Linked DNA regions of Schizosaccharomyces pombe. The protein of the gene in region 2 binds, or shares a complex with, the protein of the main gene of each other region. Each region holds a gene or a part of one and is shown on either strand. Other genes may lie near its edges.

Evidence for each region.
Region 1: mrpl33 (region 2) and mrpl39 share a complex: the UniProt entries of both Schizosaccharomyces pombe proteins name them as parts of the mitochondrial large ribosomal subunit.
Region 3: mrpl33 (region 2) and mrpl32 share a complex: the UniProt entries of both Schizosaccharomyces pombe proteins name them as parts of the mitochondrial large ribosomal subunit.

The regions. Positions count from the first base shown.
Region 1 is NC_003423.3:2,700,235-2,703,731, reverse strand, and holds mrpl39 (mitochondrial ribosomal protein subunit bL33m), read left to right. Parts: upstream 1-1,980; 5' UTR 1,981-2,482; coding exon 2,483-2,505; exon of another isoform or gene 2,506-2,556; coding exon 2,557-2,658; exon of another isoform or gene 2,659-2,689; intron 2,690-2,716; coding exon 2,717-2,759; 3' UTR 2,760-2,997; downstream 2,998-3,497. Other genes in the region: ATP-dependent RNA helicase Mak5, read left to right, coding at 3,373-3,497. UniProt on the Schizosaccharomyces pombe protein: Component of the mitochondrial ribosome (mitoribosome), a dedicated translation machinery responsible for the synthesis of mitochondrial genome-encoded proteins, including at least some of the essential transmembrane subunits of the mitochondrial respiratory chain.
Region 2 is NC_003421.2:2,220,988-2,224,814, reverse strand, and holds mrpl33 (mitochondrial 54S ribosomal protein uL30m), read left to right. Parts: upstream 1-2,232; 5' UTR 2,233-2,243; coding exon 2,244-2,293; intron 2,294-2,348; coding exon 2,349-2,592; 3' UTR 2,593-2,611; downstream 2,612-3,827. Other genes in the region: tif6 (translation initiation factor-like ribosome biogenesis protein), read right to left, coding at 558-1,185, 1,501-1,572, 1,627-1,661; SPOM_SPCC1919.07 (uncharacterized protein), read right to left, coding at 2,612-3,232. UniProt on the Schizosaccharomyces pombe protein: Component of the mitochondrial ribosome (mitoribosome), a dedicated translation machinery responsible for the synthesis of mitochondrial genome-encoded proteins, including at least some of the essential transmembrane subunits of the mitochondrial respiratory chain.
Region 3 is NC_003423.3:3,905,533-3,909,231, reverse strand, and holds mrpl32 (mitochondrial 54S ribosomal protein bL32m), read right to left. Parts: upstream 1,381-3,699; 5' UTR 1,095-1,380; coding exon 783-1,094; 3' UTR 501-782; downstream 1-500. Other genes in the region: SPOM_SPBC1604.12 (uncharacterized protein), read left to right, coding at 1-339; PAK-like kinase Shk1, read right to left, coding at 2,174-3,699. UniProt on the Schizosaccharomyces pombe protein: Component of the mitochondrial ribosome (mitoribosome), a dedicated translation machinery responsible for the synthesis of mitochondrial genome-encoded proteins, including at least some of the essential transmembrane subunits of the mitochondrial respiratory chain.

The sequences.
Region 1 (3,497 bases), on a different chromosome or scaffold from region 2:
CAACTATCGTACACACCCTGACGCTTGTCCTTGGATTACGGGAATACTCAGCTCAAAAAATAACAAAATAATGCGACGGAAGGAGAGCACAGTGTGAGATCTGATAGCACAAACTGGTAAAAGTCGGTTTATCAATTTGACCTGTACTACCCATCGCATGATCTTAAATTACGCCTTTTCATGCACAAAAATGGAAAATCTTTCAAGAAAGGAAAATTTACTCTAACAGACGATATTGTCTCACTATCCCATGTTTGTATTATGTGCAGACTAATTAACTTAACGTTCTTTTTAAACTACGTTATACTTGCTTATAGGAGACAACGTGCTTAACTGAAATGTTAACAGTTGCATACTTAGACTTATCTTGGATAGTGAGTTTGGCCCCTTTACCCTATATGCCAAAAGATGACCCAGGGGGTTAATATTAAGGCCTAAAAGGTAGGAGGAAGCAAGAAATGGTAAAATGGCACGTGCCAAGCCAAACAAGAAGAGATGATAGACACGCAGCTAAAGAACATAGCAAGCTTAAAGAACAAATAACAAAGCATTTTGGTTGGGAAATTGATCAGTTGAAGAAAGTTATTAAAGTTAATGATTATTATAGATTTACTAGTAAATACATAAAAACCAAGGAAAAGATAAGAAAATAAAATAAAATATAAATAATAATTAACGATAATTATATGTATATATAAGAGGATAATAATTTTATATATACACAGCAAATCCATCCTATATTTAACATAGTATTCCTCTATTAAGTGCGAATATTCTTTTACTTAATTCAGCCTTTGCTTATTTAATGCGAGTTGTCTCAGCCCTTAGTACAATGTCAAATCCTCTTTAAAAGATAGTTATTAAACCTTTTGTTATTCTAATGACAACTGTAACATATCCTTGACTTGTTTACTATCCCTGCTGTAATTTCCAACTCAATTTTTATTCTACATATATAAAGCATCAGTTAAAGATATTTTCGTTGCTTCTCTCCATCATTTTCACAACCAGGAAAAATGTTTATTTTAAAATTTCCCATACTATTGACCATGTAGAACCGTAATAACAATCGTAAACATTGCACTTAATGAGCTTTAAATACTCTCTCAATTCTTTCATTCAGTCTCCATATCCGAGGGATGTAGCCTTCTCCAGTCTATTCTATATCCGTCTTTGGGTGCGGCTATACTTGCGTTGTATAGATTTTCTCCGTATGCATCGTGATATGTCTCAATTTCGCGGATGAGATACGGACTTGGGATTTCGGGCAGATCGTCATACAATGTCACTAGCTTCCGCAATTCATGCGATTTGTTCATTTGCATTCTTTATTTGGCTAACCCTTGTAAAATTGGGAAAACACATTTTATATTCTCTTTGGACCCATAAACACTTAAAGTGACTTGTAACTCATCCATCCTAGTCTTGGTACAGCAAATGAATTAGGTTTGCTTACAACTTGAGGATCGTCTTATACTTTCAGTATTGCCAATAATTTACAGTTACAATGATACTTAAAGCTTGCGTTTGTTTAGAGCCGAATATATATATATATATACACGAAAGGCTTTTTAGAACCACCTCGTCATAAATGTTTCTTTACTAGGCTCGCTAATTTCCATCTGTGTTTTTTTTTCACGCTAGCAAACTATGCTATTGCAATTAGTTCATTCTTAACGTCCTAATTCATCTAGTACATGTCATTTTAACTAAAAGAATTTTTCCTGAAAGAAAATTGGTTCTTTCATTTGAATATCATTCTTTCCAAAAAAAATGTAGAAATACAAATAAGATTATAAATTGGCAAAGACGCGATTGGACTTTAATTAAATACCCATCTACAGCCAATAATTAAAAAACAATAATAATTGTAATAAAAAAAAAGAATTTTTCAAGAGTTGTTCATCACTTCATATTTTTTCTTCGAATGTTAATAGAACAGCAACTTCTATTTATAAGATTACTTATAGTTTGTTAATTATTCCTCTCTGTTAAATTGGCAGACATCAGGAGAAGAGACGCAGCAGACTCAATTTGTTATACTTTCCTTATTAACATTTTTTTATTTTTTATTTTATTTTATTTTTATTCAAAAATTCTTTCTAATTTTTTTATTCTTACTGTTCGTCTTTCGTTCTTAAGTGCCGTCATGCATGTTTCTCAATTAGAATTTCAAATCTAAATGCTTTTTTTCAAAACAAGTAATTCATTGATGAGCCTTTTATCTTTACTAATAGTTCTATAGTCTACCTAAAACAAAAAAATAACCTATTGAAAAGCCTCGATTGTACACAACCAAATTTAATAAAAATTGGATTGCAAAAAGGCTTTCTCATTACTCAAAACAATATCTTTGAATTGCAAACTTTCAATTTTACATTTCTGACTGCAAGTTATCCATCAAGTTAAAAGAGCTCGCCCACAAACCCTGGTGTAACTACAAAACCTTTAACTTACCGCTTGCACTGTACGTATATCCAGAATGGCTAAAAAGAATAAAGCTCGGTAAGACATACATGCTTAATTTAATGCGCATTTTTAACATTTATTTTTCAGTTTGCTTGTAAAATTATTGTCCACCGCTGGCACTGGATTTTTCTACGTTCGTTCACGTCCAAAAGCTGCTCCTAAGCTTGCTTTTATAAAATATGATCCCAAGTAAGTTATTATGGATTTTCTAAAGCCTCATTTAAGAAGCTAATGAATGAACCCATAGAATTCACAAAAGAGTACTTTTCGAAGAATCCAAAATGAAATAAAAACTTCTTCCATTTCAATGATAGTCTGAAAATGAAATGCTAAATTATGACCGATCAATCTACCTTTTTTCTTCAAAAACTTTATGGATGTGCATTAATTATGTATTAGCTTCCCAACCTACATCTTATACGACATAATTCTAAACAGCTGCGTGAACATAAAGACCCTTATATTATTCTGTCATATCTATAATTCCTATTTTTATTATTATTATTTAAGAGAAGGACTGAGATGTCAAATTTTCAAAGTAATAAGAATGTTCCTTTCACCTGTACCAATTGCTAGCCGAATTAGAACTATAGTAGTAACATCGTTTGTGTTTACTACTCTTGTAAGCACTGTAGCTCAGATCATTCGATTCTAAAATTCTCAAGCAATATTTTTAATACAAAATGGTTGTACTATTTAGAAATTATGCAAAACATGGCAAAGCATTGAATTGCTAAAACCAATCGTCGTTTAATGTCTTCGTAACATTTAATTATTTGTTTTCTATTAGCTTATACGATGCAATTATTTTTATTCCCTCGTTCCAATTCTTAGTGTAAATTTTTGTCTACCTACATTTTCTATGTGGAGCAAACTACTACACTTTTCAACGCTTTGATCACGATGCCAAAGAAAGCTGCATTGGACGAGCTTAAATGGAAGGAAGTCAAGCTTCCTGACCACCTAGACGACTTCGATGGGTTTATGGGCTTGGAAGAGATTGAAGGTGTGGATATCAAATATCAGCC
Region 2 (3,827 bases):
ATATTTATTTCGCTTGCGGAGTACGCATTGGTTTCAGTCAAAAAATACCTACATCGAAATACTTTCCATAACTAGTTTGTCACCAAAGACTGAAAAGAAAGTATATTTATTAGATCATTTTTAATATAAAGGCTGCAAACTACTTAATAAAACACGTAAATTGAAGTACGAAGTCTCATGCAGCGTTAGCAAGAAGCTCTACTCTATAAGCGAGAATAGCTTAACAAATCCGAATGTGTTAAGAACAGACAAAAAGCAAAGCAATAAAAGCATTTTCAAAATCTATTTGACATAATAAAAATAAACACGATTACGGAAGTCCCTTAAGTGTTATAATGGTCTATAAAAAACTTGTATTGTAAATTTCTACAATAGGAAGCTTGGGTACCACAATGGATAGGACTATTAAACCGAAAGGCATATCAAAAATTTTATAACCAGATACATACGTATAACGTATCAACATTAAAACTTTAATAGGAAAATATCACGTAGGATGAATTATCCAAACTCATAAATCCTGATCAATAATTTTTTAGTTAGCTCACACCGACTGCTTATGTATAAGACTCAACAAGAGTGTCTCTGTTGCTTATAATAGCAGAAGGTTGAGCATCTTGAAGTTTAAATATAGATTCACAGACAGCCAATTCAGTAGCCGTAGTATCAAGTCCAGCAAACGCACACCAGTCGTTCACAACTAGACCAGCACCGATAACATCGGAACCACGGTTGATGGTACCGGCAACAAGAGGAACTTGAAGAAGTGATGACAATTCATCCTGTTCCTGAATGCTAGTACGAGGGTGAACCAAAGCACCTTGATTGCTCAATGCACAATACGAACCGGTTAAAACATTGCCTGCAACGGTTTGACGGAAAACTTCAACATCTAAGACATCAGCAATAATTTCCTCGGTTTCACGCTCAATATCAGGATGAACAAGGGCCACATAGTCGTTGCAAGCCACAATGTTTCCTAGAGCTGAAAGTCGTTCATCAACACGTTGGATTTTGACAGGATCTGGAAGAGAATTGCGGAGGTGCTGTAGTTCATTATCGGTGGTAGAAGAGGGAACTAACAGACCTTTTCTATTACCACATGTCAAACGACCAATGATTCTGGTTCCTCCAATTGTGGTATGAACAACGGGTACAACATCACCTAACTCTGCCTCGAACACGCTGTTATAAAAGTTAGTGAAAAGTTGATAAATGTAAAAAATGCCAAAAAAAATAATTTGTCGAGCTGCATCGAGTCAAGGAATAATAAAGGTAATGAACAGCAAACCGCCAGAGTTTAAGTAGTGGTTTGCATTTATGTAGCAAAGTCTCTTTTACTCAATTAAAGAGTAGTTAGGCTACATCATTCACATATGTGCTATTTATTTTTCTCATAATACGTTCGACTGGTTAAGGATTTTAAGAACCTTTAAAAAAATTTTGAATCGTTTACATTTAGAACATTAAATTTTGGCATCAAATAAACGTTAAGCTTACCTGTAGAAGTTTTCAGAGCCTCCAAGCGCTACAAGTGCGTATGAGTTTGTGAGATTAGAAAAGACACCAATCCTATAATTTGTTAATATCATGCGTCTATTAAGCAAAAAAGCTGAGTAAACTTACTCATTAGAATTCTCGAATTGAGCACGAAGTGCCATTTTGGTAAAGAAAAAGTTTTATCCCAGCCAAATTTCACATCTTAAAAATAATAATCCATTGAACATCGTTAATATGATATTAGCATTGTGAAGCAGACACGTAATACCAATTAACATAATTTTTTGTGATATATCGGTAATACTGCATTACACTAATGATTTACTAGGTTGCGTATCACTATATGTTACATGTTGGAATATTAGTAAAGATCCGTTTATTGACAGTAAACAGATAAGTAGTCGTCTATACTCATAGACACCATGTGATTACAACTACTAGAAAGATGATAATTATAGATGTTACTGTAAATCGCTCCTCTCCATTTTTTAACCATATCGGTGACTTACACTAATAGACTTCTTATAACAATAAATATAACATTGTAGTTAATATACTGCATTCCACTAAATGTGGATCGCAAAAAATTCATCGTAATTCAATGTATCGTTAAATAGATAGCAACGTAGTGAATAATAGTGAACAATAACGAGCTTGCGATATGAATTGTATTTTATCGGTTGAACTAAAAGAGTTTCAATATTTAGTGTTAAACGGACTCCACGAACTTCTAGTTTACCATAATGTCATTCTTTCGAGTTCGTTTAGAAAGGTCAGCCATCGGGCTCTCGAGGTACGTGTTTTGGAAACGAGAAAAACATGCTTGTAATTGCTAACCAATATTTTAGTAAGGTGCGCAGCGTTTTGCATTCTTTGAGGTTAACAAAAAGACACTCCGTAGTCTATTGCGATGTAAATCCAATCAATGCGGGAAGAATTTTTAAAGTAAAAGAACTCGTTAGTGTCAGTACTGTGAAACAAAAGTTAGCCGCTGGGCAAGAAAAGAAGTCTCTTGCTTCTAGTAGCGGATTTACAGTGATACATCGATACAATAACGGTTTAAAAGAATTGAATAACATGTTTGAAAGTTAAATTTTCATTCTAGTTATATTTATCGTAATAGTTCATCTAACCAACTTTGGTCTTTGTTTGGCTTTTCAGACATATAGTTCCTAGAGTCGTTTCTTGAAATATGCATGCTGGAATGATTAGAAGAAATGTAATTTTCCCCTTTATCTTCTGTAATGGAAGGCGGAGCAGACTGATCCATACTTTCAAGAAAAGAATCAATATCTTCTTCCGCTTCAGCATGGCTAATGTTTACCTTTGGCTTTTGTACATTATAACGCTTACGGAATTCTTGAATTGACTTTTCATGCTCAACGCTCTCCAACATGTCGGCTACTTCTTCACGTTGGATAGTCCGAACTTTGGACTTGGGTTTTTGGTTGCTAATTCCCAAACCAGTAAGGGGCCGTGCTTGTAGTTTTGAATACTCGAAATCTTCTTCTTCATCTTGAATTGTATCTCCATTCCCCACGGTCTTCAAACTTTCCAAACTTGGATATTCTTCCTCATTGTTATCTTCATCAAAGTATTCCCCTGCATTTTTAAATCTCCATTCGTTATTTCCCAAATTTTTTTTACGAGGTTTTACAGGTGCATCATGAATGTCATGCTTTTTTTTATACGCTAATGTCGCTTTTCTCTTCCATTTATCTTGTACTACCATATGGGACGTCGTGTCTGAAGAGGCAAGGAGGAACCTGTACCCTATAAGACAATAAGTTTTTTTACAATGTTGGTCAATTTTTTTCTTTTCTCGTAGTGGTTTATATTTTTAACGACTCGAGTATAATAAAATTTGAAGCAATAATAAAGAAGAATCCTTTTTTTTTTTTTTTAAGCCAAACTTGCTTAGCGCTTTTTAATAAAAATTCGCACTCGACTGAACACTAAAAAAAAACTTTTCAATGATTGTACATTACTTGAATGTATAATAGACAGGTTTCTGGGGAAGCTTCTTCAAGATAGTTTATCTACCAGAGTTCAGCAGACCTGGGTGATCGAAGGAACCTAGATCGTTTTTCGTAACCAAAAGTTTAGAATTTTTTTTATACAATTACTTCTCGTTAAATAATTCTTCCTAAAAAACCTACTATTCGATGGTAACATCAGTTGTTTCGGTTTTTTCATTTGCAGTATAAATTGTGATGTTAAAGGCTTACTTACAAATCATACTAGTTAAAATAGGAATTTTAAAAGTGCAAGTTTGTTAAAATATAATTATAAACTCAATTCGTAAGTTCGTCGAGCTTGCAACTAAC
Region 3 (3,699 bases), on a different chromosome or scaffold from region 2:
CTTAGTCATGCAAATTCTGTTCGAATTCAGCGATCGAAGGGCGATGTTATTTTGAATTTACATTTGCCTAAAGTGAACCCGGAGCGGTTTCTTCCTACTAAATCATTAAAATTAGAGGAAATGAAACCATTAGAGGAGAAGGTTCCTATATACCGCTCATCTTCCAAACAACCCCTTCGAATTCATCCTACTCATCCACTGCGTGTAACTGTTTGTCTTCCAGGTAGCAAGACAATTCAAGTGGCTCGTCGCTCTTTTCGTAATTCAATGAACGCTAATCGTTATGATCCTCAACGCCGAGAACGAATTGATTCCGGTTTATGGAGGGCGAAAAACTAGCTTGGTTTTTTCTTATTGTTATCGTTTATGTATACTTTACATGAGATTATAGTCTCTTTTGTGTTTTCGATGCATTTAATATTATTTACACGCTTACAACATAAACGTGTATTGAAAAAGGATGAAAGCTAAGAGATATATTCAGCTTTTTTGTTATTTTTTCACTCTAAATTCTTTTGCATAATATATGATATTTATACTCAACCGTACATAGTCAACAAATAAAATTAAGTAAAAAAATTCTTTGTTATACGCGTATTTTTAAAAAGGGTGTAGTTCATTAATCGTAATACTGAAAAAATTTAAGTAGTGCGAGCAGATTCAATTCACTAACTGCAATACTATTACATGAAACAACCTTATATTTAATGTTAAGTCCATTTTTTTTCTTAAAATAAAGATTTGCAGCATCACTAAATCAGTGAAGAAATGCTTAATGCCCTTCATTCGTTAAATTCTCGACGAATATTTCTAAAACAGTGAGAACATAAATGATGTGCCAATTTAAAAGACCCGCAAATAGGACAACGATTAACTGTTTTGTCTTTTAATGCTTTTCCGGACAGTAAGCGACTTCGTTTCTTAGTATAAGAAGTTTTTTTCTTTGGAACAGCAAGCAAAATGGAATTCCATATATTAGCTATTGAAGGGGGGGAAATAAATATCCTCAAAGAAATATGAGGAAGGGCGCTAGCTTGAAAAACTGATAACATTTTTTGGCTAATTGCCAAAGAATTTCCTCTTAAAAGAGCCATTTTCGACCCAAGCGCGAACAGTAGAATATTGTTGGGTACAGTAATGCTGAACAATATTTTAAAAGTTTTCTCAAGGTAAGGCGAACTTAGTTACTGCAGAACTTGATCTTAATTATATAGTTATAAAACGATGCATATAGCCGTTTTCTAAAACCAGTAGACCCAATCACAGATAGATTTACGATCTCCGAGAAAAGAGTTTGAAATAATTGGAAGTCGTCAAAAGGAAACTTAAAGACCAGTTACTTTGGTTTCGAGACAATGCTTAAGAAGTAGGCTGCTGCCTAAATCTATAGTCTGCTGTTGAGTAGTAATAACCCATGTATAACGAGACTCCTCAAATTCACTATTGCTTTGGCTTGACATTTAAATGCTAAGTGCGCTCTCTCTTTATTAAGTCTCGCAGTTTAATGTTGACAATTTTCTTAAGCTCATGAACTACGCTACAATCATAGTCCATTTAATTATTTGAAGTTTTCTACGTATTTGTACTAATTTTAGTAGATCAAAAATTTTGTGAAATATTCCAGCAGGCGTTTCACTTTGAGATTCCACATAATTGAAATTGAAACATCGCTTTAAAAGATTCAAACCTATTTTGACTGATTCAAGATCAATCTCAGAATCATGTACTTACATTTTGAATACTTTGATAAGTTAGTCTTCCTTTTAGTTTTTTTATAATGCATTGCGAATATTAAAAAGTTGAGACTTTTAGAAAGAAGCATTGTCTCATTTATTATAAAAATTATCCAAGTGTCACTGAGATCATTCTTGGCAGTAAGAAAAAAACAAAAAAAAAGGAACAGATAAGTAAAGTATGCACTAGAAAAAGGAATTAAAGTAAAGCAAAAAAGTAGTTAAAATGTACTCTGTTTGAATCTGCCCAACCTGCGGATATGGATTTTAGTGGAGGAGGCAAAAAAATAAACTCAGGTACATATATTCTAACGAACTGCAAAAGCATATTAACGATAAATAAACAATGTGAGAAGAAACAGTTTTTAAGCAAACGTTGGAGGATATTCCGAAACTTCTAACAGCAGATGTTTACTCAAAAACTTTTTTGACAAGTTAGCCTATTTACCAGAATGATGTATGGATTTTATCAAAGGGATAAGGGATGAAACTGGAACGGCTTGCTTAAGAAACGGATGCCTTAAAAGCTCACCGGAGCTAGGGCGTTGCTTAGGATTAACAGTTAAAGATTTAGAAAGAAAATCATGGAAAACAGAACTTAACAATTCTGGCCGACTAATCTTTGGAGTACCAATAGTAGCAATTAAATATAGAGCACGTAAAGGATTTTCGTTTAAATACGGGGGCTCTCCCTCTACCATCTCTATAGCCATAATACCAAGACTCCAGACATCAACTTTGAAACCATATTCCTTTCTAGTAACGACTTCTGGAGCCATCCAATATGGAGTACCAACCATCGTCGTTCGTTTCGTCATGTTACTGTCGATCTGAGCACAAAACCCAAAATCGGTAAGTTTAATATCTCCTTGAAGTGAGAGAAGGATATTGTCTGATTTTATGTCACGGTGAACAATGCCATTTTCATGGAGATGCTGTAAGCCTTCCAACGTTTCCTTACATATTGCAGCTATCTGACCTTCTGAAAGAGTGTTATTGGTAACCACTTCAGTAAGACTGCCACCGCGCATGTATTCCATTACCATCCACAACTCTGATTTATAGAAGAAAGTGTCAATAAAATTGACAATGTTTTTGTGATGATGTGACTTCATCACGAGTATTTCATTGACAATAAATTCCTTTTTTGGCTGTTGATTAATGTTCATTTTCTTGATGGCAACAGAAAGATTAGTGCCGACTTGGCGAGCAGAATACACATCACCAGAAGCACCTTGACCAATTTTAACAAAATTTCGATATAAAAGTGTTGGATTTTTGGGATTGCATATAGACTGTAACTTTGCCAATACAGCAGAATCATTGGATTGTTGTCGAGGTGCACGCTTTTGAAGTCGAGGGGCACTTGGTGCTTCCACTTTTTGAGGAGTCGCAACAGCTTTCGGTTTGGTGCTAGTCTCGGCTCTCCGTTGATATGGTGTCGAGTTATTCGGACGGATATGTTTCGTTTCAGATGTACTTAAGGTTTGAGGCGTTAACAAAACAGGGGAATGACTTCGGATTATATTATCGGTTGACTTGCTGGAAACTAATGGAGAAGGTTGTCGAGAAGCATTAGAGGTAGTAGTTTTAACTGTTTGTGATGATAATAAAGGAGACGATGAAGAACTTGCAGGAGGCGTGGGAGCAGGTCGAGAAGGATACAAACGAGAAGATGAGCTTGTAGCAGAGGTGGGTTGAAGATGAGAACTACTAGACAACGCTGAAACGGAGAGTAAAGGCTTCTCAGTACTTTCACGGGGAAAGGGTGGCTTTGCTCCCTCCTCAAGATATTTCTTGGATTGGGAATAAAAAGCCATAGCGTCCAAAACGGCCTGTGGATGTTGTACTTGTTCCGACTTTGTAATGCCACTGACTTTTAGTAGTGCCTGCCATTCAGTAGGCATTCCAGTAAATTCCCCAGTATCATAATTAAAACCAACGTGAGTGACATGCTTCGGATCAA